Diceros bicornis minor: one gene and its partners. The protein of the gene in region 1 purifies or fractionates together with the protein of each later gene. This does not show direct contact. Links are inferred from orthologs where the notes say so. Each region holds a gene or a part of one and is shown on either strand. Other genes may lie near its edges.

Region 1 (10,134 bases):
GAGGAGCTCCGAAGCTGGGATGGCTTTTCCCAGATGTCCTGAATGCGGGTGAGAGGGCCAGGCTTTGTTCCCCCATATAGAGAGTCATTGGATGGGACAGGCATCTTCTTTCAGCCCAGGGTAGTCCTTGGAGAGGGACACAGCTGGGGGAAGGAGTTCCTCAGACCTGAAGGTGGACTTGGGCTGTGCACACAGCATCCACTGCATGCCCATCTCCCCAGCCGGGTTATAAGACCCTGGAAAACAGACCATGTTGAAAGTGTGGCATTGTGCTGCCTACAGAGTATGAGTCTATCAACTGGGTGTTGATTCTTCTGTTGAGGAGGATGGCACTTAGCTTCTTGACTTCCTGTGGACTTATTTTGAAGCCTTCTCTGCATAGATAGGCTGGCTTCACTGCAGGGCTGAGTGGGGCCCTGTCTTTATTTGGAGTTCAATATCTGCCATATTACCTAGGCAGTCTCCTCAGGAACCTTCCAGACCTTCCTGGAAGGGAGGTGTCAAAGGTAGGGAGGGATCGCCACCTCCTGGAGAAAGAAGGGACCACGGCTTCCTGAGCATCTGGAGCCCCGCTGTCCAATAGAAAGATCATGTGAGCCCCATATGTGATTTTCAATTTTCTACAAAATTGAAAATGCGAAAAAAGCCAAAAGAAACAGGTGAACTTGATTTTAATAATATATTTTATTTAACCTCATACATATAAAGTATTGTCATTTCAACAAGTAATCAATATAAAACTATTAATGAGATATTTTATATTCTTTTTTTCTGCACTGGATCTTCAAAATTCAGTGTGTGTTTTACACTTACAGCACATGTCAACTCAGACCAGTCACATTTCAAGTGCTCAAGAGCCACATATGATTAGCGGCTACCGTAATGGGCAGCGAGATCTAGAGGCTAAAGGCGAAGGAGAGAGCAACAGCGTGTGTGTGTGGATGTGTGTGCATGCATGTGGGGTGAGTGTGGATGTATGTGTGATGTGAGTGTGCATGTGTGGGGTGTGTGTATGTTCCTCTCCATATCTAGGAAAAATGGAGAGCTGTGGACTTGAGGAAAGACAGAGGTGTCCCAGAGACCTGTTGATGCCTTTAGGGCCATTAGGAGAGGTTGGCGTATTTTGTTCAATCATTCAACAAAGATGTTTTGAGCACCTACTATGAGTCAGATCTGTGCTGGATGCTGGGATACAAAGATGGAGAAGACACAGTCCCTGTCCTTAAGGTGTTCATGGTCCTGTGGGAGAGACAGGAGTACAAAAACTAGTTGTAATCGAGGGCAATAAGTACAATCACACAGGTGTTACCAGGCTAATAGAGGGTAGTAAAATCACACAGGTAGTACCAGGGAATACTATACAGCACAGGGAATAAGTGTTTGGAAGTCTTCATAGATAAGAAGGCCCAAGCTGGGTCTTGTAAGATGAAAAGGAGTTCTTTAGGTAGGAACAGGGGTTGAAGTAGTAGAATAAAAAATTCCAGGCAGGCAGATGATGAACAAGTGAAAAGGCACAAAGGCACCAAAAAGTTGGGATCCTGAAGTAGGCAGCTGAGGCTGGAGCATGGAGTGTGTGCACTGGGTGCAGAGGTAGAAGATGGGGTTGGAGGTAGATAGAGGAATCAATTCATGAAGAGCACACGTGTCATTCTCTGGTAGACCATGAGAGCCATAGAAAGATATTAAGCCAAGAAGTCGGATGATCATGCGTATTTTCAGTCTCCCAGGGACAACGGGGCAGATAGATTAGTGGCCAGGGCATGGTGAAGAGACCACGCAGCAGTGTAGGCAAGCAGTGGAGATGAACTAACAACAGCAGGTAATGTTTATCAGGCTGGTACATCATACAGGCACCATGCAAAGCTCTTTATCTTCATCATGGCAGTTAAATTCTCAGCAGCCCTAAGAAGTAGGTACTATTATTATTCCCATTTAACAGAAAGGAAACTGAAGCTCAGAGAAGTAAAATAACTTGCCCAAGGTCACATAGTGAGTCAGTGGCAGCACGAGCTTCAAACCTAGGTCCAACTGACTCTAGAACCTCATGCTTAGCCGCTGCACTGCTGTACCGCCACCCCACCTCCCCACCTCCCTGCAGAGCAGCCCCCAGCAGAGCAGCTCTGGACTTGGGGAGTGTGAAAAGGGGGTTGAGGGGTCATGACCTGAGCTTTGATGGCATGTGGAGCTTAAGACTGAGGGCTAACCCTCAGGTGGCCAACTGGGTACCCAGGTAGGTGATGCTGCCATCAACCTGGATGAGAACTCTGGGAGAAGGAACGAGTTTGGGGAGATGTCACGTTGTACCTATGGTTGGTCATCCAGGAAGTACCCATGAATTGAGGTGAGAGGAAGGCCCTGGTCTGGTGATTTGGGACTTGGTGGTGAAGAGGGTGGCATGGTTGAGCGACAGCAGCCCTACTGTTCTCAAGCTAGTCCAGCAGATTTGCTGTCCCTGGCTCCTGTATCCTCAGGAAGGAGGGAAACAGGGCGAGCCTGCCAATCCTGGGCTCTTACTTATTGCTCAGCCTTTTCACAGTTGCCCCCACCACAAAGTGTTTTGCCCAGTAGATTGCAACCATTCCTCATAGTCAGGAGTGAGAATGGCCAAGGGCCGGCCTGAGTCCTGATCCTGACTGTACTGCAAGGTGACCTTGGGCAAGTCCCACTGGTTCTCCCAGGGATTCAATGTAAGGAGGGGTGAGGCTCCAGGAGCAAGAAGGACCCCTTTAACTCTGAAAACCCATAATTCTTGAGCAACCCACAGCTGGAGCCTCAAGCAGAGGCATTTCTCCAGCCAGCCCCTGAGGATGTGAGAGGGCTCCCTGGGGTAGCTCCCCTCCCACCCACCTTCCCAGATGAAACCCCCAGTGCTCAAGGCACCCTAGAGCCCCCAGACACCACTCCAGGGTGGAAGGAGTTCTCTGGGTCTGTCTGGATTTGCTCCTACAGGCAGGCTTGGAGAGGCCAAGCAGGTGGGGCTCCCCTAGGGGGCAGTGTGGGACCCGTGCACACTTCGTGAGTCTGAAGAGATGGCCCAGTGGCCGGTTAAGATAGGAACAAGACAGGGCCTGCTTCCCCGAGATCAGTTCACTTTGCTGCCAGCTCTGCTATGTCCTGTACCCTGCCAGCCCCTTAGCAAGGGGAGTGGCCAGGCTGGCTCAGTTTCAGGCAGGCACGTTTGTAAATAAGCAAAATTCTCCCAAGAAGCATCTCTATTCCCCAAGAAGGGCTGGGTGTTCGGGCCATGAGAGGAGGGGGTTTCTCCATTACGGAATGAAGGTTTTTTTCATTCAACAATTATGGAAATAAAAACTAAGCAGACACTCCCATCTGGGCTCACTCCACTCACCAGCCTGGGTGTGCAGTGACTGTAGCTGGGGGCTCAGGGTCTGGGAAGGAGTCAAGCCTCAAACCTTGTCTGGAGTATCTCAGGTCTGAGTGAGGTCACTGAAGGACACCATGAGGGGTGTAGGAATGTATGGAGCCTCTCTTTCTAAAAGGGCTCAGATGAAACTCAAACTGGGGGTGATAGAAAGGGCTTAGTGATAGCACGGGCAGCTCCTTGGGTGTCTGGAGGGGAGGACAGGAAACTGACCAAATGGAGGAGCAGGAATCTCAGGCCTTTGACACCCACCAATATGCTACATTACTGAGCACCAACACTGTGCCAGGCACCAGTGTTACACACACAAATATGACATGATCCACATGCTAAAAAGGGGTTTAGTAAGGGAGAGATCTGCATGTGAAATCAAGGGCTCTTACCTACAACCTAGCAGGTTCCTGGTGGTGGTGGTAGGAACAGCACAGCGTGGCATGGTGCTTCACAAAAGGGGGGCTCATACTTTCTCTTTCACAGGGGGATAATCCACATAAAGGTGGGTAATCTATGTAAAGCACTTAGTATAGTATGTGGTATTAAATTACAGCTCAATAAATGGTAGCTATTATTAGCCATTATTACAAGATGCAGAATAAACAAGGCACATCTTCCTGGAGTACCAATTTTACTCAACAATTAAGGAGGAAAGGACATTCTTTTCATATTAAAACAAACACAGGCATAAGCTGGAGTAGAATGCAAAACTCACTTGGATTTTTGACATCCAACAAAGATTTTGGGCCTGCATTGCCTTGCCCCTTCAGCCTACTTGCTCACCCCCCATCCCCAGATGGACACAGGAACTAGAAAAGCCCCTGCACTTGGAGCTTGGAAACGCGGGTTCCAACCTAGCTCGGCTGGTTACTACCTTGTGACCCTAAGTGCTGAATTCCTTGGGCCTTGTTTCCTCATTGGTAATATGGTGTTAACCACACCTGTATCCAGAATTGTGATAACAAAGAAGACAATATATGTGAATGTGCCTGGCATAGTGCCTGGTCAATAATAGGTGCTCAACAAATGTTAGTTTATCAGGAGCCTAGGAGATAGGGCTAAAGGAGCATGGTAGGTGGAACAGAAACTACTATGTTATTGCTACTAAGCCTCCCAGGTCTTTATGGGGGAGAGAGTGGGGAACTGAGTCCTGACAGCAATGATTCTAGATGGTCATTCTGCCTTGTGGTCTGGGATGGGAAGTCTATGATTTACGAACCTAGCTTTGCCCCTAAATCGTATCCTAATTCTCCTTCAGCTCATTTAGCCTCAGTTTTTCTATATCTTAGTATGTGAGTTTTCTAAGATTTGGGTCCACTGTCAATTACTCCAAGCCCAATATTACCCCAATACTCTCTAAGTACTTGGCTCAGGTCATCTTAGGTACTTAGGCTGCCATCTGTGCTTCATGTATGTGCTTAAACTTTTCCATGTGTGTAATTCTATATCCTTGGCAGCCTGTAAACTACCCAAAGAACAGGGATCCTGCCTTTTGTGTGTGTGTGTGTGTGAGGAAGATCAGCCCTGAGCTAACATCCAATGCCAATCACCCTCTTTTTGCTGAGGAAGATTGGCCCTGGGCTAACATCCATGCCCATCTTCCTCTACTTTATATGGGACACCGCCACAGCATGGCTTGACAAGCTGTGTGTCGGTGCACGCCTGGGATCTGAACCTGCGAACCCTGGGCCGCCGGAAGTGAAGCGCGCGCACTTAACCGCTGCACCACTGGGCCAGCCCCTGCCTCTTTTAAAGAACCTAAATACTGTAATATTGAACCATTTTACTAATCTGTCATTGATGATCTTACAGAAAAATGTGGAAAAAATTATTTTGACTGAGAAAGGCTAGGGCCATGTCTTGAGTAGTCTTAACTTCCTTTTAGCAACCCATTATGAATCTGTCCTCTGAGAATGTATCTAAAGCTTTTGGAACTTACTTAGGGGACACATTAGTATAATTACTTTTTATATTTTAAAATGGCAATATGGAGCAGACCATAAGTATAACAGTTCTGCCAATTTAGAATTTTAGTCTAGGTGGAAGCAGGGGGTGGGGTTGAAATATTATAATGCAGTTAAGCTTTATTGAGGGAACTAGATGCCAGGCACTGTTCTATTTCGTTTAATCCTCCCAACTGCCTGATGAGACAGGTACTGCATTATCACCCCTATTTTACAGATGAGAAAATTAAAGTGAAAAGAAGTTTATCAGCTTGCCCACCTCTATAAGATTAGTAAGTGGCAGTGCCAAAAATTGGAATCCATGGCTCCCACTCTTAACTACCTTGCTATGCTACCTCTTGCCATGCATACTAAGCCTCCTGGAGCTTTGAGCTCATCTAAATGAGCTGAAAGCCAAACCACAGGGGCCACTAATACTTGCTTATCTTTCTGATCTTTCTCTGGGCCTCCTTTGCCAACTCTTTGACCAATCCCTAAGAGGTCATGACCTTCCAAGCTTTGCATGGAATTCCCTAATACAATACATTCTAGATACACGCTATACATATCTATTATAGCCTTGCTTACAAGCTGCCTTGGAGTTGCTTTTTAGCCTTTTAATGTATGTATGTTTTGTCTAACTAGATTATAAACACCTAGAGGACAGGGACTGTATCTTGCTTTTTCCGTATCTCTCCCAGTGCCTAGGACTAGGCCGGAGACGCCAAGAGAGCTCATTTAACTGTTGTTGACAGACTCAGGACCATCCTCCGCCCCGCCTTGGCCACTCCCCTTTTCCTCGGTGACCACTCCACTGCCTCCTCCTGGGTCCCCACCCCTTCCCGCTGCCTTTATTCTTACGCCCTCTGGCCCCGCCCCTCCTTCTTGGAGTCCGTCCTTTCCCCTCGTCCCGGCAGCATCTCCAGCGTCCCCTAGCGACGGGGCAGTAGCTCCTAGCAACCGCAACTCGGTTCCCTGACGACGGCTGCACGTAGGGACACGTCAGCGCGCCGTGGCCCCGCCCCTGGCGCCGGCCGGCCCCGCCTCCCCGTGCCTCGTTCGCCGCCGCTGTCGCCGCAGCCGCCGCCGCCGCCTCCTCCCGAGACTCGCACAGAGCAGTTATGGCGGATCCCGCAGCGCCCGCACCCGCAGCTCCGGCTCCTGCCCAGGCCCCGGCCGCGGCCCAGGCCCCGGACGCAGCCCCCACCCCGGCGCCGGCTCCCGCCCCGGACTCGGCCTCCGGGCCGTCCTCAGACTCCGGCCCCGAAGCCGGCTCGCAGCGGCTGCTGTTCTCTCACGACCTGGTGTCGGGCCGTTACCGCGGCTCGGTGCACTTCGGGCTGGTGCGCCTCATCCACGGCGAGGACTCGGACTCGGAGGGCGAGGAGGAGGGCCGCGGGAGCTCGGGCTGCTCCGAGGCGGGCGGCGCGGGCCACGAGGAGGGCAGGGCCAGCCCGCTGCGCCGCGGCTACGTGCGCGTTCAGTGGTACCCGGAGGGCGTCAAGCAGCACGTGAAGGAGACCAAGGTGCGGCGGGCGGACAGGGGCCGGCGGGAGGACGGAGTTAGCTGCTCGAGCCCTAGGCCGGGGAGGGCAGGGAGGGGAGGTGTGCGAGGCGCTGCCCAGAATGGTGCAGCTGCAGTGGGGCGAGGTGAGAGTACAAGCCTCAGCGGAGGGGACGCTCCGGTGCAAAGTCATTGCACCAGCCCTGGGCCACCGGGCCCCGGCTTCCCCACGCGAAGGGACTTCCGAGCCATGTTGTGCTATGCTGTAGTGTCGGCCTCAGGATTGTGAACGTGGACCCACCACGGTGGGGAACCCCTGGGGCTCTGAGGCACGCTGGCGTTACCCCAGCGCGGCGCTTTGCTGACCCCTGAGGAGCTACATACTGCATTGTGCATCCGGAGAGGAAGGCCCTGCCGGGTCGGTGCAGGGAGGGGTTGTGGGCATTCCGAAACAAGGATAGAGGTGAAAAACTCGGGCACTGTAAAAGCCCAAGAAGTTCACTAGATTATAGAATGCATTATTATGGGTGAAGAAACCCAACTCCTTTTGGTTTTATCTTATTGCCTCATTTTAATTGCTGCGGGGAACTTTGTGAGTAAAATCATTATCAGTGCCGTGATATTAATAGTACTGGGGGGGGTGATGTGACAGCTGCGATTGGGATTGATGACTCCTAAGTGTAGTTGGACTTCTTGAAAAAAATACTGTAGAACCATGGATGGAGGAGAGCCACCCATTTGGAAATCTGAAGGGTTTTTCTTGACTAGAGGCTGTTAAGCAGACATCAGACTCCCAAATGGTATTGGGTTGAGGCTGGTGAATATTGCAGTTTTACAAAAACAAAGAGGTTTATCATCATAAACCTGAAACCTTGAACTAAGGTTGGTTTGGTGGCTTTTCGTGTCTTGTTTTCCTGAGTGTGAATTCCTATCAGTGGTTCACACACACACCCCTGTATCTTTCAACCCTTCTTCATCTTCTCCCCTTCAAGAAAACATTTATAAGCAGGAATCAGGCCTGGGCTGTTTCAGCTGCCTGGGATGTTGAGAGGTCTGATTTCAGGGGAAGGGACTTTAGAAGTTAATCTGGGTTTCTCACACCCTGGGGGACAAAGGCCACAGAGGAATGCGGCTTTCATGCCACACTACAAAGGGGGACTGTGATGATGGCTCAGGCAGGGGAAAAGGCCCCACTCCCAGGAAGAGCCTGTGATCCATTTCCTAGTGGCAGAAGTGACTGCTGATACCAGCAGGATCTTTTTCCTTGCCAGTGCGCATGCATCCACAGACAGAAATCCGCACACAGGACTCCTGGCTTCCCCTCAGAGAAATGCAAATCAGGCAATAGCTTCTCTGATTCGGGGAGGAAATTATAAGCTCATGTGCAAAAGTATGTGGAAGATATTATTTTTTGGAGCAGAATGCTTGTTAAAAATTACCCCCAGTATTATGTCAAGAAGAGAAGATTTTTGCTGTATGTCCTGTCTTTGTGCATTGTTTTACTAGCAAATGGTTGTTAGTGTCTTTCTGTGGGATTTTAAAATATGTTTTTCCCTAACCATCTTCTCTAGAGGTTTGTGACTTCTGGAATGCAACTCATTTGACTGTGTCGTGGCCTCCTGCCCTGGGACTCAGGAGGCAAGCCCAGCACACTACCGGGAGCTGCCATGTTTATCAGTTGCTCCTGTTCATCTTGATTTTGGTGGCTGACTTTGTTTACAGTTACATTCCGTCTGCCTCCCCCACCATGTGTAATTATATGAAGTTTGACTTAAAATACCTATTTTGAAATTAAATAGAAAATAACTTTAAGGCACCAGCTTGGATATAGTTTGGAGCTGCCCTCTTGTGACTTGCTTTGAATTTGTTAAAATCCATTGTGGCTCTAGTGGTGGTGTTTTCTTTGCAATTGTAGTTTCTGTAGCTTCTGAGCTTAGCAGAAGCTAAGGGGCACAGGAATTCTTGGAAGTGGTGGTGTGCAGTGTCCATTTATAGATGGCAGGACCCAGTTCTTCTTCTAGGACTTGTGAATGGGTTTGTTTGGGGGGAAAGTTTATACGTGATACGTAGCTCTCTGTTACTATGAGCCCTAGGCACAAATGACCCTGGTCATCTGAACGTCTCTCCTGCTTTGCTCCTGGCCACCGATTAGGGTGGTAGAATGGGTCCTGGGACCTTGCAGCACTGTGGCTTAGGAAGATTTTCCTTCTCGCCTCCCATTGTTTATAAATCCATTGAGGTGACAGTGTGCTGTAATGGAAAGACCATTAGACTGAGACTGAGCATTTAGGTTCTGATTCTTGCTCCATCCCTAATCTGGTTATGAGATTTGAGAACCCAATTATTGATAGAATAATGTAGTGACAGTTTTGGGAAACATTTTTTTTAAAGCTGCCACCTATTGGAATTTTTTAAATAGTGCCCTTTTAATGTGAAATGTTTAGTAGGCTGTGGAATATTTTTGTAGTTTTCATGTTTATTTGGTGGGCAATGAGTAAAGGCTTACGATTAGTCTCTTGTTAAGTTTTAAGTTAAACTCATTAAGTTTTTAATGAACAAATTCAAAAAGAGAGGTGAAGAGGCTAGCCAACAAGTCCTACTGTCTTCTGGCCACTTCCATGAAAATTATCAACAGAAACAAAATAAGTAGTTCTTCCTTGGAACTGTGGAATTTATGGTCCAGTTCCTGAGGCTTCCAGCAGCCAAAGTTAAGCTTCTTTAGGACTTAAAAGAGGCGCGCAGCTTGTGCTCCTTCCTTCCCTCAGTCTCCTGACCTCCTCAGCATAGTAGCTGATTTATCCACTTGAAACTTTTCCCGTTTGGCCACGGATCTCCTCTGCAGAAACTTACCCCCTCCCTATCAGTGGTCAGCCTTTGAGTAAAATTTTGGAATAAAGCCAAATGCCAACAGCCTCTTGGCCTTCTTGAGCACTGGCTAGACATGGTGGATCTTTCTCTTCTCCACCTGTCATCGTTGGACAGAATGGCCCCCGTAAGGAAGAGAGCAGACTGCTGTCTGTGAGTCCAGGTTTGGGAGCTCCCTGTTTAGTTTTCCCATCTCTTGTTTCTTTTGCTTTAGTTGCCATGACATTCAAGGTCTCGTGGGGTTTGAGATTTCATGTCTCTAAATTAAAGCTGTCTGTCTGTGATCACCCAGCTGTTGTGAGGCTATGTGTGTGTGTAGCATACCTGATGACAGGTCCCTCAGGTATTGGCTTTTCGGTTTATTTTTGGCTCCTACTCAGACCAACATTTCCATGGGGAAAGCTATTTAGGTGTAGCATCGTAGCATGTGAAGTTTGCTTGCCTCG
Region 2 (9,738 bases), about 18 Mb from region 1:
GGTTCAAATCCGGGTGCCCCCTAGTGTCTTCACTTTTAAGCCCTAAGACCCACAAGATGGTAGGAAAGAAAGGTAATAACTTGGCAAGTACCCTGTCCATTCTGTGGTGTGTGCTGGGACTACAGAAAGTAACAGGTAAATTATAGTGTCATGGATTTCATGTTCTAATACTGAGGTCAACATGCAAATAAAGGAATTACTCTACAATGTGATATGTAAAACATTTCTGGTGTCCTGTAGATCAGTGGTTCTCAAAGTGTGGCCTTGGGATTCTTAGGTGTCTCGGACACCTTTCTAACAGAAGAATGAATTTCATAATATTACATTATTTACCTGTTTCACTTTTGTTCTTTCATGAGTATAAAGTGGAGCTTTCCTGAGGCTACCTGATGCGTGATATCACAACAGATTAAATGTGGAAACATGAAAATCCAGCTGTCTTTCATTAAGCCAGATATTAAAGGGATTCCAAAAGAATGTAAAGCAAAGCCACTCTTCTCATTCAATTATTTTTGTTTGGAAAAATGTAGTTATTTTTCATTTAAAAATGTTATGTATTTTAACAAGTAATGGGCTTATTATTATCTTAAATGAATTAACAAAATACTTAAACATTTCACGATTTTATATTTCTAGTCTGGTAAATGTCAATAGATAGATATAACCTATATAAACAAAAATTCTTTAGGGTCCTCAATACTTTAAGAATGTAAAGGGGTCTTCAGATGAAAATATTTGCGAATCACTGCTCTAAGTAAAGAGGGGGCTGGGGGGAGAGCATGCTGGGGTTGTGAAATGGCACAGGGAAGAGATGACATTTGAGTAGAGTTTGGAAGAACATGTAGTGGATAAAGCAAGAAAGAGTCCCGAAATCCTAAGCAGTTTGGTGTTGCTGGAGTGTGAAGTGTAAGAGGCAAGGTGATGGGAGATGAGGCCAGGGAGAAGATACGCCATTTCAGGAAGAGACTCCAATGCTGTGCTAAGGAGCTTGGGCTTTATATTCTGTAAGTGCTAGAGGGCTGGCACAGGGTTTTAAGCAATGGGAGGTTCGAGTTAGACCATTTGGAGGCTATTGCAATAGCCTTGAAACAAGGGCAGACTTTTGGATGCGTGGACAGAAAAATTTAGGAAGTAGAATCAAATCAGTAGACCTTGGTCATTAGATCTGGGAGCCTGGGGGAAGAGGAGAATAAATTGTGTCCCTGTTTTCTGGTTGAGATGCTCGTGGTAGCACCAACCAAAAAAAAACTAATACAGGCAGAAAAGCTGATTTTCTGGGAAAATGATGATTTCTGTTTTGGACATGTCAGGTTTGAAGTGCCTGTGGGGTGGAAGTGTCCCAATCACCAGTTCCATATATTGGCTAGAGCTAAGCAGCAATGTCTGGACTGGAGACACAGACTGGGGCGAGATCAGCATATAGACGGTAATTGAAGCTATTAGGGGGGTGTGATCACCCACGGAAACACAATAAGAAGGGACCATGGGGAAGGAGAAGAGGGCAGTATAGCACAGTTGCTTAGAGCCTGTGCTTTGGAATCAGCCAGACTTGGGGTGGCATTCTAGCTTTGCCTTTCGTGATATGTGTGATTTTGGACACATGGCCTAATCTTTCTATTTCTCAGTTTTCTCATCTGTAAAATGAGGTAATAACAATACCTCTTAGCGGTCAAGTGTGCGCGCTCCACTACCGGCAGCCCCGGTTCGGATCCCAGGCGCGCACCAACGCACCGCTTGTCGGGCCATGCTAAGGCGGGGTCCCACGTACAGCAATTAGAAGGATGTGCAACTATAACATACAACTATCTACTGGGGCTTTGGGGAGAAAAAGGAGGAGGATTGGCAATAGATGTTAGCTCAGGACCGGTCTTCCTCAGCAAAGAGAGGAGGATTGGCATGGATGTTAGCTCAGGGCTGATCTTCCTCACAAAAAAAAAAAAAAAAGTCTTAAAAAAAAATAACAATACCTACAGCACAGGGTTGTTGGGAAGATCCAAGATGTTACATTCCCGTAAAATGCTTAACTCAATGCCTGGTACCTGGTAACACCCCATAAATATTAACTTCTATTATTATTAGCATCATGGAAACCCTAAGAAGATGGGAATCGTCCCAGTGTGAAATGCTGTGGAGTTCAAGTAATATAAAGACTGAGGAGCGTCCTTGGATTTTGAAAATGAGCAGGTCATGGTGAGCTTTCTAGTATAATTTTTCAATATGTATAATTTCTAGTATAATTTCAGTCAAGTAGTGAGGACAAAAACTAGATTACAGGGGTTCAAGGAATGTGTGCATGCAGGAAGTAAGGAAGTAGAGACTGATCATTTCCCAGACCTTTGGTTTTCATGAACCATTGAAATTATCACACACAAAAAATATGGTGGCATTGGGAGGGTGGAAAGCTGATATAGGATTGAAAGGCACATTTTTAACACCAAAAACGATAGAAGAAGATAATCTCAGAATAACAGGCAGTCCTTTAAACTGAGCAAATGTAGCTTTATAAGAAATACTATATTTTCCAAATATTTCTAATTTTGCTATAGATGAATGAAAACTTCTTCATGCAACGATGCTGACATATGGAGACCATTGAGATAGACTTCTTCATTTGTTCAGCAATCATTCAGCACGTATTTATCGAGCCAGGCCCTATGCTAAGTGCTGGGGATATACTATTGAAGAAAAAGGATATGGACCCAGCCCTTATGGAGCTTATAGACTAGTTATAGACTAGTTGTGTGTGTGGGAGAGGTCATTCAACAAATAATCATCAAATATATATTTAGGAGTTGTAACAAATAGTATGAAGGAAAAATACAGCATGTTAAGAGAACTTATAACAAGGGCATCTGACCTAATATGGGAGTCATGGCAGATTTCCCTAAGAAAGAGATATGCAAGCTGAGATCTGAAAAATCAGTAGACATGAAATACATGATAAGGGTAGGCAGGGTGGCATATTCCAAGAACGTGTGAAGCCTATGGGTATTCAAGAACACGGGCAGTATCTAAGACTAAAAAGCCAACCCTGCAGAGCAAGAGAGAGCATGGTGCAAGATGAGGTCGACAAGGTAGGATGATGCCAGATCAGGAGCTGGTAGGACATGATATGGATTTTAACTTTGATTCTAAGAACAATAGACACCATTGGAGGATTTTCAGGACAGTGATATTATAATATTTATATTTTTGAAAAATTATTCCTGGCCTTTGTATGAAGAGTGGACGGAGAGGGGAGAAATAGAGGCTAGGAGATATCTTAGGAGCCTTCAGAAGTAGTTTAGGCAAGAGATGGAGGTGCCTTAGACCAGAGTGGTAGTAGAGGAGATGGAGAGAAGTGGATACATTTTTTTTTTTTGTAAGGAAGATCAGCCCTGAGCTAACATCCATGCTAATCCTCCTCTTTTTGGTGAGGAAGACGGGCTCTGAGCTAACATCTATTGCCAATCCTCCTCCTTTTTTTTCCCTCAAAGCCCCAGTAGATAGTTGTATGTCATAGTTGCACATCCTTCTACTTGCTGTATGTGGGACGTGGCCTCAGCATGGCCAGAAAAGCGGTGCGTGGGTGCGCGCCCAGGATCCAACCACGGCCGCCAGTAGCAGAGCATGCGCACTTAACCGCTAAGCCATGGGGCCGGCCCCAGAGAAGTAGATACATTTGAGAGACATTTAGAAGGAAGACTGAAAAGTCCTTGGCCAGGAATCTCAGATGGACACCTGGATGGATGGTGGTTCCATTTATTGAGAGAGACAAATTTGATAAGGAAATCATACATTCAGAAATGCGAGGAATTTCATTATATTTTGATTTCTGTGTAGATTATTTACTCTTACTTTATGGTCTCATCCAGTATCACGGCTTTAAATATACCTATATGCTGACAACTCCCAAATTTATATCTCCTTCTCTCCAGAACTCCAGGCTAATATGTCCAACTTGCTATTTGAATCTCATTTGGTTGTCTAATCGACATCTACCTCAACACATCCAAAACTGAATTCCTACTCTTATCCCTCAAACCTGTTCCTCTCACAGCCTTCCCCATCTCGGTCGATGGCAACGCCATCTTCCACTTGCTTTGACCTAAAGCCTCGAAGACATCTTGACTCCTCTCTTTCTTTCACATCCCAGATTTTGTTGACTATACCTTCAAAACACATCCAGAACCTGACCACATCACATTACCCCTACTGCTATCACTCTAGTCCAAACCACCATCGTGTTTCTTCTAGGTTTCTCCAAGAGCTTCCTAAATAGCTCTCCTTACCTGTATGTGTCCCCTCCCAGTCTAGAGTGATCCTTCTGACACACAAGTCAGATTATGTCCCTCCTCTGCTTGAAACCAGTAACGGTTCCCCATTTCAGTCGGTAAATGAGGAAGTCCACAGTGGTGTACAAAGCCTTACATGATCCAGTTCCTCTTCCCTGGACATTGCTAACTCCTTCACCTTAAAGTCCTTGCTCTAATGTCAACTTCTCCCATGAAGCCCACACTGAACATTCTATTTTAAATTGCAGTCTGGCCCTCTGCCCACGATCTGATCCCTGTTACCTTGTTCTACTTTTATTTTTTCATAATACTAGTCACTATCATACTATATACTGTAATTATTATATCTATTTTTTAGGGTCTAATATCCACCTTCACCACCCCCCCAGCAGAATGTACCTTCCATAAGGACAAGAAGGTTTATCTGTTTTGTTCCCTGATGTAGTCTCATGTATGCCCAGGACAGTATCTGGCATAAAGTAGGCGCTAAATAAATATTTGAATGAACATATCGACAGAAGGAAAGAAGCCAGAAAAATGGGGAGGTTGAAGCTGTGAAAGGGGTAATTAATAAAGCAAGATATCCAAAATACAGATGGGTGCGGGATCAAGCGCACATCTAGGGAAATTATATCACATCCTAATGAAACCGTTTAAGGCTCTTTCTCCCTCGGCCCCCCACACCCTGTGTTCTTTGGGGGCCCCTACACAGCACAGAACGTTTTAATCATTTCTGAACCTCTAGTGTCCACGAAGTCCCTGCCACATACTAAGTGCTCAAACGAGGTTATTGGCTAAGTTAACAAACCAATGTTTCTGTGTGCCCAACTACTTTCGAGCTCGTAAAGAGGAGACGGGCCCTCATTCACTTCTGCAGCCCCCAACCCCTCGACCTCCCACTTCGCAGCGACATCACAAGCCGACGTCCAGGACTTACTACGTAATAACACAGCGACCTGGGGGACGAGGCGTGTCGAGCGAACCCCGAGGCACGTGACGAGAGTGGGCGGTGCGTCAAAGTTCATATCCCAGTGTCCTTTGTTGCTACTTCCTTTCTGTCCCCTTCCGGCCTTCAAGATGTCCAAGAGAGGTGAGTTTTTCGCTCTGGGGGATCCTTCGCCATCTGTCGCGAGGTGGCTGCTGGCCTCGCCGGGAGTGGCGGCCATAGGCAGCTGGGGCGCTTTGCTCTCCTCCGGGCCGGAGAGGGAGAGGAGGGGCACCGCGAGAACACTGGAAGGGCCGCCGAAAGTGGCGAGGGCAGGCCTGCAGAGTTGAGCTGGCGGGATCCGGACATGATTCTAGACCGAACTCCGCGGGATCGCTCCGCACCCCGCTGCAGTAATGGGGTTGCAGTTGGACTGGCTTAGGCCGCAGAGTGGGAGACTTGTGCGGTCTGCCGCCTTGGAGGAAGAGCTACCTGGTGCACGAGTTGGAGCGAGGATTGAGTCGTCCAGGCCCCTTAATCTCAACGTAGGGGTGGTAATAGTGAGGAATTGGCTCTTTGCCGTGAGAGCTGGGTGGCACATGGGAAGGGAGTAAGTGGAGTCCTAGAGATAGCGAATCTATAGTGTACCGTTTCCTAAGGCATATGCGAATAAAGCTGTGTACAGCTTGAGAAGGTGAAGGGAACTCCGAAACATGACTTAACCTGTGTGACCTCTCCTGTTTCTCTTCCTACCCACAGGACGTGGTGGGTCCTCCGGTGCGAAATTCCGGATTTCTTTGGGTCTTCCGGTAGGAGCCGTGATCAACTGTGCTGACAACACAGGTGAGACCTGCGGCTACACCCCGCCAAACTCCCCCTTTTAAAAGCACTCAGTGGGCCTTTTGCTAATGACCCACTGAGCCGTCAAGAAAGGGCAGAGTGAAAACACCGCTTTTGGGTGAAGCGGCAGCATGTTGTGTTGTTTCGCTTCAATCGGTGGTGTGACAGGGTGTTCTCCCTCGGGACTCGCTGCTTGGGAGTGTGAGTGGAGTGGCTCTGGAAGTGTTGGGGAAATATTACACCGAACCGAACAGAACTGCCTAACAGGCTGTCGAAAAGATTCGTTTTTGTTTACATCCTTTTATAGGAGCCAAAAATCTGTATATCATCTCTGTGAAGGGGATCAAGGGACGACTGAACAGACTTCCTGCTGCTGGTGTGGGTGACATGGTGATGGCCACAGTCAAGAAAGGCAAACCAGAGCTCAGAAAGAAGGGTGAGTAGAGAAACAGAGTTTTCCTTATCGTCTGGTGGAGAGTTGAAGGGCTTCTGACTTTGTTGAAAAATGGAACAATAATTTTACCATTGTCACGGCCTGTTGAAGCCTGTTTCCTTGGGGAGGCACTGTGAGATAAATATCTGCAATTTAAGTTCTGCTCTTGCTGTCTTAGAGATCATTTTCTTCTCTGTCTGATCTTACTGTATTTGTCTTGCTCTCTTACTCTTTAAATGTATTTGCCACATTGAAGCCAGGGCCCATCTTTTAAAAATGTGAATCTTGTCACTTGCCTACTTAAGTTCTTCACTGGCTTCCAGTGTAAGGGGGGGGGGGGCTTTGTATGTTACCCTGCCATTTCCCCAGCAAGTGCAGCAGCTAGTTATAGACCACCTCACGTGCCTATAGAAACAAAAGCCCTGTCCTGGAATTTATAGTCCACCCTAACGGTGCCTGCCCCAGCTGTCTATTCCTTTCAGTTCTTGGTTTCTCGCTCTGACCTATACCCCTTCCTTTGTGCCTCAGATCCTTTGTACTTGCTGTGCCACTTGCCTGGAATGCTCTGATCCAGTCATCTTCAGCTCACTTCCTTGTTGACACTGCCCGTCCCCGCCCCCCGCACCAAAAAAAAAAAAAAACCTTGATGTCGGTGGTAATTTTTGTGTGCGAGACATTTAGTTAAGTCCCGTAAGTTAAGTTCTAGTTAAGTTCCATCAGAGCAGGTACCTGTCTTCAGTTCGTTGCCAATTCCTTGGCTACAAATGAACATGGTGGTACTTAGTAAACATATTTTTTGATAGGTGGTTTAGAACTCGACCAGGTGAGATCACAGCTTTAAGACTTATGTCACCAAGTTTTTTTTTTCTGGAACTACTAATTTGAAAGGGAATAATGATACTCGAATACTTTCTCAAGTGGTTGTGAGATTCAGGTGATGAGCTGAGCATGTAGAGCATCTGGCCTATTAACTAGCGCAGAGCAACAGATGGTGTTTCTCATGCTTTAAGTCAGATTCTTTTTACAGATGAGATTAATTCAAGATTGTGACTTGTCAGAAGTTTGGCAGAGTTGCTTCTAAATCTCTCTTTTTTTGTTTTGTTTTGTTTTGTTTTTGGTGAGGAAGATTAGCCCTGAGCTAACATCCGTTGCCAATCCTCCTCTTTTTGCTGAGGAAGATTGGCCCTGGGCTAACATCTGTGCCTATTTTCCTCTACTTTATATGGGACGCCGCCACAGCATGGCTTGACAAGCAGTGCGTTGGTCCGCGCCTGGGATCAGAAGCTGTGAACTGCTCCCGGGAGTGGAGTGCGCAAACTTAACAGCTATGAGCCACCGGGCCAGCCCCTAAATCTCTTCTGATAGAATCTAAAACAGGGAGCTGCTCATTGCTTAATCATGGGCTACCCCCCAGATGTTTCTGCTCTAGGTATATTAATTAAAAGGGAGGTCTTGGAGCACTTCTGCCTTGTAATGTCCTCTCTGGCTTTAGAGCTTATGATACTCAGTATACTTGAACTTTTCAGCTCCTGAACTTATCCCCTGTGCCTGCTTAGTCTTGCTCATCCTGAGAAGTCCTAGCCATGTCTCAGTGTATAGTACAAATGTGATGGGTCTCAGCCACATATATCAGTTACTCCTTGTAGCCCTGCATACAGTACCCCCTACCATCCAGTTTTTAGCCTTTTGGTCAGAAGTCTTTGTTCACTTTTAATATCTGCTTGAGGGCTTGGTGGGCAAGGAGTAAGTAGCATTGTGGTTAAGCATTGATGAATGAATACGTAGCTTGGGATCAGCATGCAGTGGACAGGCTTTCCTCTTAGAACACTTGCTGGGTCTGATCTGTGGCCTGGAGAGCTGTCAGGGAAGGGCAGAGCAATCAGCCATCGCTATGGGTGAGATGGCAGCAGGATGTGCTGTCGGTCTCAATCAGTTGTGGGACAGACCAGAGAACACTTAATGGTTTTAAAAATAGTTGTGAAATTTCCAACTCCATTAATGTGTTCTTTGTTGCTTGTTGCTGCTAAATGAACACATGCCTTCACCTTAGACTTACGTATAATTTACAGAAATGTGGAAAGGGACAGGACCAGAAATCCAGAGTCCTGGATTTGTGTGGCCTTATTTATCCACTAGATTCATTTGTGAGAATTTAAATGGTTATAAGTAGATGAGGGTTCAACAAAGGAGGCACTCAGTAAATATTAGTTACCTGTCAGTGTGTATCCCATTGTTAAAATCTTGATCAGAAGCTGTCTACGTACATAGGTAGATAATACTTGCCTCAAGGATAGCCAGGATCCCTGTCCTTATAAAAATCCTGTATTTCCATGGTCTGATCTTGAATGTAGAAATGTAACTATTATTCCTATTTTACAAGAGGAAAACTTGAACTCCAGAAGATTAAGTAACTTGTTCAAGGTCTCCAGGTTAGTATTAGTCAAGATTTGAATCCAAGAATGTCTGACTCTAGTTCTTTCAAGTGCAGTAGATGCTTTGTTTTGAAGGTCTGGGAAAGTGTTCCCTTTAGTGCAGGTAGGCTTTAAAAAATTACTTATGACCCTAGAAAACGGTTCCTCAAAAAATTAAATGTAGCAGTTAATTACTCAAGAAGTACAAGTTGAGGGACTGGCCCGGTGGCGCAAGTGGTTAAGTGCACGTGCTCCGCTACAGCAGCCCGGGGTTCCCCGGTTCGGATCCCAGGCGTGCACTGATGCATTGCTTGTCAGGCCATGCTGTGGTAGGCATCCCATATAAAGTGGAGGAAGATGGGCATGGATGTTAGCCCAGGGCCAGTCTTCCTCAGCAAAAAGAGGAGAATTGGCAGATGTTAGCTCAGGGCTGATCTTCCACCAAAAAAAAAAAAAAAAGAAGTACAAGTTGAATTTCAGTTACCCAGTTCTTAGACCTCCAAAGGATGATCATTGTTAATGTTTTGTTGTATGTCCTTTTTTCCTGGTTTCTATGCAAAAAATTAGCTTGTAAACTGCTATGTAAATGGGACCATAAAAAATTACAGATATACGTAATCATTTTAAATGATTCTATTCTGTGCATGTGCCATGAGATACTTAGGTTAATTCCAAGTTTTTGCTCTGTTAAAACAACACATGCCCTGCAGTTAGAAAGGCGTTTGAGATAAGGTAGAGTGTATGGTCAAGATCCTGGACACACTGATTAAGTTGAAGGAGTGTGTGTACATATGCTCACTAGCAATTACAAGTTTCCTTTGGGTAAATTGGTGTGTAAATGAGTTTATATTTGTA
Region 3 (10,092 bases), on another chromosome or scaffold:
TACATCATAGAACCATTCAAGTAAAACTCACATTTTAGGGATAAGAAATAAATTACCAAAGATCACAGCTAAAAAGGAGCTGAATGAAAATACAAACACAAAACGTACACGATGAATTTTTTTAAAACTTAATTCAGCTTATTCAACAAATTGGAAGGGGGGTACAAAGGAAACTATAGATGAGAAGAGACTTAAAATACATATCAATCAATCACAATATGTGGACCTATTTTAGATTCTAATTCAAATAAGCTTTTTTTTTTTTTAAGTTGCCAGATGTTATTGGGGGAAGCTAGGTGAAAGGCATATGGAAACTCTGTATTATTGTTTTTTTTTTTAAAGATCTTTTTTTTTTTTTAATTTTTATTTATTTATTTTTTTCCCTCCAAAGCCCCAGCAGATAGTTGTATGTCATAGCTGCACATCCTTCTAGTTGCTGTATGTGGGATGCGGCCTCAGCATGGCCGGAGAAGCGGTGCGTCGGTGCACGCCGAGGATCTGAACCCGGGCCGCCAGCAGCGGAGCGCGCGCACTTAACCGCTAAGCCATGGGGCCGGCCCTGTATTATTGTTGTAACTTCTATATAAGTCTAAAATTATTTCAAAATAAAAAATTTTTATAAGTCACACATTTGTTGTTATATATATATACAATATATAAGACGTCTTATATATCGTATAAGATATACGATATATAAGCTGTTTTAAACTAGATGTACCTGTAAACATAAAAGCTGAAATATTAAATACCAACATATTAAAAAATTATTCAATAGCTATAAATTGAGGATTATATCCTCATTTTATAAGTATGCATACTCCTATGTAATTAGGTAAACTGGCAAAGCCATGATAATTGTCATTTGAACTTCCCAAGGACTAAATTATACATACACACGTTTGAATACTGACTGGATTGTTTAAGATAACCAAGGAATTACTGCCATTTTTCTTTTAAATAGTGGTATTAAAGATATGTTAAAAAAAAAAAGAGTCCTTATCTTTTCAGATACATCTTTTAAGATACATACTGAAATATTTATAGAAGAAATGATGTGATGTCTAGTATTTGCATCAAAATAATACAAGGAAGGGAGTTAAGTGGGGATAGAGGTGAAACTAACTGGCCAATAACTGCTGAAGCTGCATGATGGCTACACGGGGGTTCAGTATACTCTTCTGAATATTTATGCATACATTGAATTTTTCCATAGTAACAAGTTTTTTTAAGGGGAAAAAAATGTTCGAAATGTGCTACAACTTTGTGGTTCCTGACAAGCAAATGATTTATAAAACAAGTTTTCTGACTTACACCTTATCCTACATCTTGAAAATAAAGACTCACTATACAAGTAGAGTTAACCTGCTAAGGAAAAACACAGCTTCTTTCAGGTTTAGAATTTTAAGAATTATGTATTTTGAACTATAAAACCCAGTGCCACAAATAACAAGTTCTTTTTACAAAAATATGAAAGCAACTTACTTGAAAATAAATTTTAGATGGACTAAAGATTTAAAGTGAAAGAAATGAGAAAGTACTAGAAGGAAACAAATAGTATATTAGGGTAAAGGGCTTTTAAAATTTTTTCTGCAAAAACAATTTTTTGAAGGATTAATATGCAGTTTAATAAAGAACTATCACAAATCATTAAGATAACACAACAGAAAAAAATGGGCAAGATATGAAGAAAAAGTTTTAAAAAATGATATGCAATAAAAATATTCATAAAAAAAGATGTTCAACCTCAACAGTAACCAAGGAAATACAAATCAAAAAGTAAGATATTGTCTGTCATTGAAAAGACTCAAGACAGCCAGTGTTGAAAAGGATATGGGAAAAGCCATCAACCTCATACACTGTCCTCTTTGGAAGAGGATTGGACCACACTATCAAAAATTTTAATGTGCACACCCTTTCACTCAGCAATTCTATTTCTAGTAGGATATCCTAAAGAATTAGTCCTACATGTGCTCCAAGTTGTAGAAAGAAGAACTTTCAGGCCATAACTGACGCAAAATTTTAAATATGTCCATCAACATGCAAGTAGTTACACAAATTACGGTACGTACAATGGCATATAATACAGCTGTTTTTCAAGTACAGTTGACTTACACACTGACAAAATTTATAAGTGAAAAATGAAATCAGAGAAAAAGGAATATAGTTTTACCCCATACTGGGGGAGCATACATATACATACTTATATTTTAGACACACACACACACACACACACACAAAAGGACTAGCAGGACATGCAAACTGTTAAGTGAGGTTATCTCTGGAGAGGGTCATGTGGAGGTACTTAAATCTTCTCTAAATAGAATCTAGGGGGCCAGCCCTGTAGCATAGTGGTTAAGTCCCAGGCACTCTGCTTTTGCGGCCCGGGTTTGCAGGTTTGGATCCCCGGCACCGATCTACACCACTTGTCAAGCCATGTTGTGGGGGCGACCCACATACAAAATAGAGGAAGAATGGCACAGATGTTACCTCAGGGCTAATCTTTCTCAAGCAAAAAAAGAAAAAGATTGGCAATGGATGTTAGCTCAGAGCAAATCTTCCTCACCAAAAAAAAAAAAAAAAAAAGTTTTCCCATATTCACTCTTTTTCCACCCTCCACTCTTTCATTCTTCATGCTGCAGCAGTGCATTTTTATCAATCACAAATCCGACCCGTTTAAAAATCTTTAACGGCCTTGCTCCATGATGGAGCTCCTTCTACCCGCCTGACCCTGCTGGCAACCCATTCCCAGCTGCTCACTCTGCTCAAGTGCCCCTTCTGCTCAGCCCAAGAATCTTTCTCACTGTGGACATTTTTTTTGCGTTAGCTGTTCCATTCTTCTGGAATGCTCTTTTTCCACTTCCCCTCTCCCCCGCCCTCTCCCACTTCCTCAGAAATGTACTCCCCAAGACTCCTGAGTCCTAATTAGGTGCTCCTTTTAGCACCTTAGCCTTTTCTTTATAACACTTAAGGAAACTGTAACTAAATACCCAATAGCTTATTTTTTTTACTAGGTATTTACCCCTCTACGACTCAAGGATGGCTCCTAGTCTGACTCCTTCACCACTACGACCCAGCTAGCATAGCAATCTGCATATTAGGCGCTCAATAAAGAACCTATCTTGACACTAAAATAATACAGTGGAATTTTTGCATAGTAGTATTATATGGTTTTTTTAAAAAAAATACTAGTTTTTAATCTGTGATTTCTAAGTTTTCTGCAATGAACTAACAAGAAGGGTTTCCTTTACGACCATAAAAATGCAAATAGAAATAATCCACTATCTAAATTAACTGAAAATTTTTTTTTAAAATACATATCTAAAATTTAAGTTTGTCATGAAATGTGTATACTCTCATACCCGACTGGTGGCCACAATCTTTGGTAAGCAATTGATTTTTGATAAAGCAATATACCAATGTATAACAAGTGCCATGAAGATATTAACCTTTTGTCCCAGTAATCCCAATACAGAAAATGTTTGGAAGAGAATAATTCAACAGAAGTTACATCATTTTCTAATGAAGTTTATCTATAAAAAGAAGAAAACCCTGCCAACTAGCTTATCTGTACAAATAATCCACTATGTTAGCTAGGGTTCAGCAACGTGTTAGTTATGTTAGAAATAAGTGTTACGGGTAATTTTTTCCCCGAATTCTTAAAAAAAAATACTTTGGATATTAATTTAAGATGCTGTCAAACGGTTTAAAAGACTTGATCTTCTTGCTCTCAAGTAAAATTCATGAGACTTGGTAACCACGAAGATAGTGACAGATACAATTAATGTTGACACACCCAAGAACCATCATCAACACGCCCACCGCCACCAGTGGGGGCGGGGAGGGCCCTGCAGACCTCGTCACCGCGGGGCACACACCTGCCTCGCACGATTTCCAAGCGGCTCAAGTTTTAGTCAAACGCAAATTAGTCCCAAAAGGACGCTCGAGCTTTTGTTACAAGACCGTGACACCAACTCAACGTGTGTTTTCTCCTTGTCCTGCCACAGCCGCCTCGCGCGCCGCCCCCACCACGCCCGCGACCCCGGCGGCGACCGGCACACAGCGACCGGCTTCGCCTCGGGCGCTCGCTCCGGCCGCGCCGCTCGACAGCGCCCGAAACTCGGAGGCCCTGCCCATTGGCCGCCGCCGCCCCTCCCCTCTCGGCGGGTTTAATGTTTTGCGGGCCAGCCCGGGAAGCGCGGGGCAGCCGGAGGGCAGCACGGCGCGAGCGCGGAGGCCGGCCGGGGAGGGGGGTCCCGGGCCGCGAGGGGCGCGGGGGCAGCCGGTGCGGCCGGGGCCGCTGGGCCCCGCGCTTACCTGGGCTGGGGACGACGGCGCGGCGGCGAAGGGGGCGCGGGGCGCCGGCGACGAGACGGGAGAGGTCCGAGCGAGGCTGAGGAGGGGGCGGCTCCTCTGGAGACGCCAAGAAATGGCGGCCTGAGGCGCACACCCACTCCGCGCTAATCCCCCGAGGACCCCGGCCGCCGGCCCGCCCGCCCCTTAAAGCCCCCTCTAAGCTCCGCCCTCGAGGGCGGGGCGCTCCGCTCTTAAATGGGCAATGACACCGCCCCGGAAATCGACCGGCTGGGCGAGACTCAGGTTAAACCGGCGATGCCAGGCCGGGCCGACCTGCAACCCGCGCTAGCGGCCTGGAGTCCGCTGCTGATTTAAAGGGGCGCTGCCGAAACGCAGCCCTGGCTATCTGACTTCCGCCCTCCGAGGGGGTGCGCGCCCGCAACGAGCCCCGAAATTAGTCCTGTCACAAAGGCGGCTTAGAGCGGTGGGAGCCCAGCGTCAGGTGCTGCTAGATTCGTTCATCCATTCGTTCAAGAAATTAATTCATTCAGCAGATATTTACTCCCTGCTGTTAAGGGAACTTTCATTCTAGTGAGGAGGAAGATGGTAACAAATACATGTATCAAGCAGAAAAATAAAGATGGAAATGGGAAATAGGTTTCTATTTAATACAGTGTGGTCAGGGAGATCCTCTGTGACAAGGTGACATTTCATCCATTCTTTCTACAGATAATTTACGGAAGTGCCTGGGCCAGGCTGTGTTTTAGACACTGGAGATACAAAGGATAAACAAGACAGACAAAAATCCCTCCTGCAGCTTCAGTGCTAGCAGGAGAGACAGAACATAAATGAGATAAATTAGTAAAATTAAATAAAAATAAATACTGTCTTTGCATCATCGAGTGGATGCTGACTCCTCTCCACCCTGTGTACAGCAGAGTCCACACTATGACAACCAACAGGCTTCTGAAGGCTGGTGTGGTTCCCTGACCAGAAACGAACCGGGCCGCCACAGTGACAGCACCGAATCTTAACCACCAGACCACCAGGGCTGGCTAAATACTCTGTTAGGCACTGTTAATGATAAATAGAAAAACAAATACAGGGAATAGGGAGAGGGAATGAGGGGTGGTAATTTTAGATAGACTGGCTAGGTAAGGAGGAAGCTCTCGATAAGAAGGTGGCCTTTGAGTGAAGACCTGAAGGAGGTGAAGGAGCAGCCTGTGGACGTCTAGGGGAGAGCCAAGGGACGAGCACAGGCCCTGCGAGGTGCCTGCTTGGCCTGCTCGAGGAACGCCAGTGTGCTGAGAGGTGAGGGAGCAAAGGAAAGAGTGTTAGGAGGTAAGTCAGAGAGGAGGGGGGTGTCCTGTGTGCCCTGGTCAGAGCTCTGAGGGCTGTGGGGAGTCACTGGAGGTGTTAAGTGGAGGACCCTGCTGGCTGAACTGAGAAGAGACAAATATTCATCGACCCCTTGTGGAGACTTGGCACTGCCCATTCCTCCACCACCCCAAGACTTAATAGTCAGGGGTGCCGGGGACAGCTGGGCTCTGCCCCACCCAGTCTTGGCGGGGGCAGCTCAGCAGGAGCTGCAGTTGCCCAAATGGCTTCCCTCAGCTCTGTGGCCTCTCAGCTGGGGTGGCTGAAATGAACAGCTGAGTTCTGCCTGGGCCTGGCTTTCCAGCAGGGTAGTTGGGGTTCAGCCCTCTAAAAGAGTGAAAACTGAAGCTCCAAGGCCTATTAAGGGAAATGCCCGGAAGTCACACAGTATCACCTGTGTTGCCTGTTATTGGTCAAAGCAAGTCACAGGGCAGACCAGTTTCAAGAGGGATGGAAACAAGATTCCACCTCTTTTTTTTTTTCTTTTAATAGTATTAGAGAAATTTTCTTTCTCTACTTTTTAAAAACAGCCCTATTGAAATATGTCACATATGATGATACAATTCACCCATTTAAAGTGTACACTTCAGTGGCTTTTAGTACATTCACAAAGTTGTGCAACCATCACTGCAATCTAATTGTAGAACATTTTCGTCATCTCTCATGGGAGGAGCAGCGTGGGCATGCAGGGCTGGGAGGAATTGTTGGGGGTCACCTTTGCATCTTTATCTCAATAAGAAAGCCATGATCGTGAGAAGGAAGGAAGCAGTGGACACATAGATGAAACATGAATGGGCCATGTGTTCAAGCTGGGTAAGTAGGTACATTAAACTATTTTGTCTATTTTATGTATGGGTTTAAATTTTTTCCATAATAAAAAGTTTTTTAAAAAATTCTATCTGGGCCATGTACTCCTTGGAAAACCTTCATGTCTCTCCAGGGCTCTGATTACCCCAGTTTGAAAACTGTACAGTCTTGAGTGCCATCCCCTCCAGCACCCCCATCAGAGCTGTCTCCCTCCAAGTATTACCCAGTGTTACCCAGCATCTCCAGCTGTTTGAAAGTCGTAGTGTAATTTATTTGTTTACTGATCAATAATGGAAGAATTTTCTGTCAATACTTAGAAACCTCCCTCATTATCCCAAACTGTTGCACAGCCCACCCGTTTAGAGAAAGTGTCCTCTTCTCCCCTTCTGCTCAGTCCTTTTTTCTACCTCCTGTCAAGGGTAGGGTTGAGGGAGGCAGTGGATGAGGTGAGAGGAATAGGTTGAGAAAGGTGGTTCCAGGCTCAAGGAAATATAAAGAGTTGGGGGAGGGAGAATGACACCTAAGGCCCTAAGTCACAGGAAGTTCTGTGTGCTCTAATCATGGGAGATTATTCCTAATAACAATTAACACTTTCCCAAATCCTCTCTCCCAGAGATAAGTACCCTCTGCAATATCCCTATTTTGTGGTAAATTAGCTCACTAATTGACTCCCACCAGAGACAAAGTTTCTCTCCTTGAACACAGCCAAATTAAGTAAAAATGCATTTGGCTGCAAATAATAGAGAATATAATTAACTGTACTTAAATAAGGAGTTTATTTTTCTCACATAAATAGTCTAGAGGTAGGTGGCTGCCTAGTATGGGTTCAGCTCCTCAAAAACACTATAAGGATCCTAAACTCTCTTACTCTTTCCATTCTGCCATCCTTAGCATGTACAGTCTGGTTTTTATGCTGCTAGCCTACTGGCCACAGGAGGGCTGCAGCATCTCCAGCTGTCCTATCTGAGTTTCAGAAGTGAAAGGAAGGGGGGAAAAGACCTTTTCTTCCTGAAGCCTAGTCTTTTAATTCAGGAAGGAAGTCCTACCACCCCCGTCTCACTGGCCAGAACGAGATGACCTGCCCATACTTAGACCAATTACTGACCACAGGAAAGAGAACACTGTGATTGGTTTAGACTGATAATAATTCACTCTTGAAGTTTGGGGAAGGGCCTGCTCTCTCTGAGATCAAGGTTCTCCATTAACTTCTTGAACAAATCCAATTTCTATTAGCAGGAAAGAGGGGGTGTTGCCAGGAAGAATGACTGTGGGTACGCTATACAGGGTGCCTACCACAATGACCCACTTTTTGGTGGCATAGTCCTGGCCCATGAAAAGATTTTCCTTTATTGAACTAACACCCTCACCCTAGATCTCCACGTCTATCTTAGGTCCTGATTTGCTTCCCGGAGCCACAGAGAAAGGGTTAGATTCAGATTTTGTGGGTTCTGAAAATCATACAATTTAGGAGGCAGCTCTTTAAGTGAAATAACACAAATTTAAGGAATCAAAATTAGGTACAGGGTCTTGGAAGGGGCCCACACAAGTAAGGAGCCCTAAAGCTTAAATCTGATTATCTTCATGGTAAATCTGCCTCTGCCCACAAGAAGAAACATAATCCCTCTTTCACATCACAGCCCTTCAAATAGTTGAGGACATTTGTCCAAGCCTGCAAAATCTTCTCCTCTTGTTCTGATTTCCAAGCTCTTTACTTTCTGGGTCAGCTTCTCTGAATTGGTCCACACTGGTCGGGCCCTTCATGCCAAAGGTGTTCTGAGCAGAGCAGAGCAGAGCAGAGAGAACATCCATATGAGATTCAGGCCTCCTGGAGACTGAAGGAGCCCTGCATTCCAAAGCCTCCATTGAAAAGAAAATATGCTCAGGAGAGTGTGTATCACGAAGAATTCATATATCAGACACTGGATCGAAGTGTTCAAAAATGCACACGAAATGAATCAAAAAACAAAACCAGTCATCAGGAAACACCACTGAGAGAGAGAATTTTATTAGCATACTGCAAAGAGTCTAGGCTTCAGTTCACAAGCTAAAAGATCTAAAACAACTTTAAAGTCTGTAAAGTGAGAATGATACCACCTTCCTCACAGGGTAGTTATGAGTGTTACAGAAAATAAGTTATCTGAAAATGTTTTCAGAAGTATACAACACAACATATAAGATAATGTAAATTTTACAGACCAAGGAACAAAAATACCTGGGTACTGAAAATAGAAGACGAGGGTTTCCCAAAATCAGGCCGTGGCCTGGGCCTAACTTCATGCAATTGGGTAGCTCCTTTTACCCAGCTAAGTCTTTCCTAAGCCACAATCTCATGTTTGAAAGTCCATCCTTCCTCTCTTTGCAAGTATTCCTGGGAGGAGTAAGACCTTAAACAAATTCATGCCACATGGACTAATTGAAGGATCTTAAAAGAATGGGGGTAGAGGTATTCAGAGAAGGGACATGGAAGGGTGAATTGAAGACAAGTCACTTCTTTCTCCAAAGCACTCAGGCTTTTCCCTACTTCTGGAGACTCAGGGCAAAAGACCTAAGCATCCATATTTCATGCATCACTTTATTCAGAATTATCTGGAACAGAGCCCTATTGATGTGGTGGCCTATGCTCCTTCTTAATCTTGATAGGAAGAAAAATTCAGAAAACCTTGGGTGGCTCCAGGCAAGTTCATAATATTGAGTAATAAAGAGCAAAGTGAAAACATTTTGCCATTAGGTTTGCCCAAGGGTGAAACCATGATGAGACTGGGAGACTCAAAAGAAGAAGAAGGAAGGAGCCAAGGTTCAGTGCCTCTAAAGCTAAGTGCATATGAGTCACCTGGAGATCCTGTTAAAAGGTTTATCTCTGGGGTGGGGCCTGAGAGTCTGCATTACCCGTAGCTTGCAGTTTGTTGGTACTGCTCATTAGTGGTCTTCATTTTGAGTAAGGAGGTCGTTAGATGACTGCCCCCACACCTGTGACTATTGCTTGACACCAGGGCCTGTGAAGGTATTAGGATACCATACAGTAGAAAGATCGGTGGTGACCCCCCTACCACTAACTCACTTGGACAAGGATTCATCTTTTCTGGCATTGGTTTTCTCATCTATAAAATGAGGTAATTAGAACACATGATTCCTGAAATCTTTTCTGGATCTTAAAAGCTGTGATTCTATACATATTCCAATATCTAAGAGGATGTCATTTAATTTCACATAAACCAAATACACAAAAATACTGAGTTTAGATATATATTAATTTAAAGTTTTGTTAAAAAATAACCCAAACCTCAAGTTTCCTTTAAAGAGAGAATCTTATCATATTTTAAATGCCTATTTTCCAAAATTTGATTTAGAAATCTGAGGTCAGGTTAAAGTAATGACAATAATTTTTCAAACAATTTCAAACATATAAATTGGTACTTCCCAACTAATTTGTTGGGAAGGGGGAAATTTCCCTCTTCCCTTCTTGGTTCTTTTGGCTGGACAAATAATTAAAATGATGTAAGACAGATTAACAGGAGAAAATCAAATTTAATTATGTACATACAGGAAATCCACATTAACATAAGAGATGTCAAAGACAGTCAGGCAAAATGAGATATATATGTCAATCTGGTCTAA

What was found. The genes of interacting proteins can lie anywhere in the genome.
Region 2: the proteins of UBE2O (region 1) and RPL23 purify together in Homo sapiens (affinity purification with mass spectrometry; 3 studies listed by BioGRID and IntAct, with this or other methods). This does not show direct contact. The link is inferred for Diceros bicornis minor from reciprocal best matches to the Homo sapiens genes UBE2O and RPL23.
Region 3: the proteins of UBE2O (region 1) and EPB41L5 purify together in Homo sapiens (affinity purification with mass spectrometry; 3 studies listed by BioGRID and IntAct, counting the BioPlex papers as one, with this or other methods). This does not show direct contact. The link is inferred for Diceros bicornis minor from reciprocal best matches to the Homo sapiens genes UBE2O and EPB41L5.

The regions. Positions count from the first base shown.
Region 1 is NC_080757.1:56,740,760-56,750,893, reverse strand, and holds the start of UBE2O ((E3-independent) E2 ubiquitin-conjugating enzyme), read left to right. Parts: upstream 1-6,397; 5' UTR 6,398-6,440; coding exon 6,441-6,845; intron 6,846-10,134. UniProt on the Homo sapiens protein: E2/E3 hybrid ubiquitin-protein ligase that displays both E2 and E3 ligase activities and mediates monoubiquitination of target proteins. Negatively regulates TRAF6-mediated NF-kappa-B activation independently of its E2 activity.
Region 2 is NC_080757.1:38,772,805-38,782,542, reverse strand, and holds the start of RPL23 (large ribosomal subunit protein uL14), read left to right. Parts: upstream 1-5,286; 5' UTR 5,287-5,351; coding exon 5,352-5,364; intron 5,365-5,958; coding exon 5,959-6,042; intron 6,043-6,073; exon of another isoform or gene 6,074-6,209; intron 6,210-6,346; coding exon 6,347-6,475; intron 6,476-9,738.
Region 3 is NC_080749.1:12,667,433-12,677,524, forward strand, and holds the start of EPB41L5 (band 4.1-like protein 5), read right to left. Parts: upstream 4,453-10,092; 5' UTR 4,315-4,452; intron 1-4,314. UniProt on the Homo sapiens protein: Plays a role in the formation and organization of tight junctions during the establishment of polarity in epithelial cells.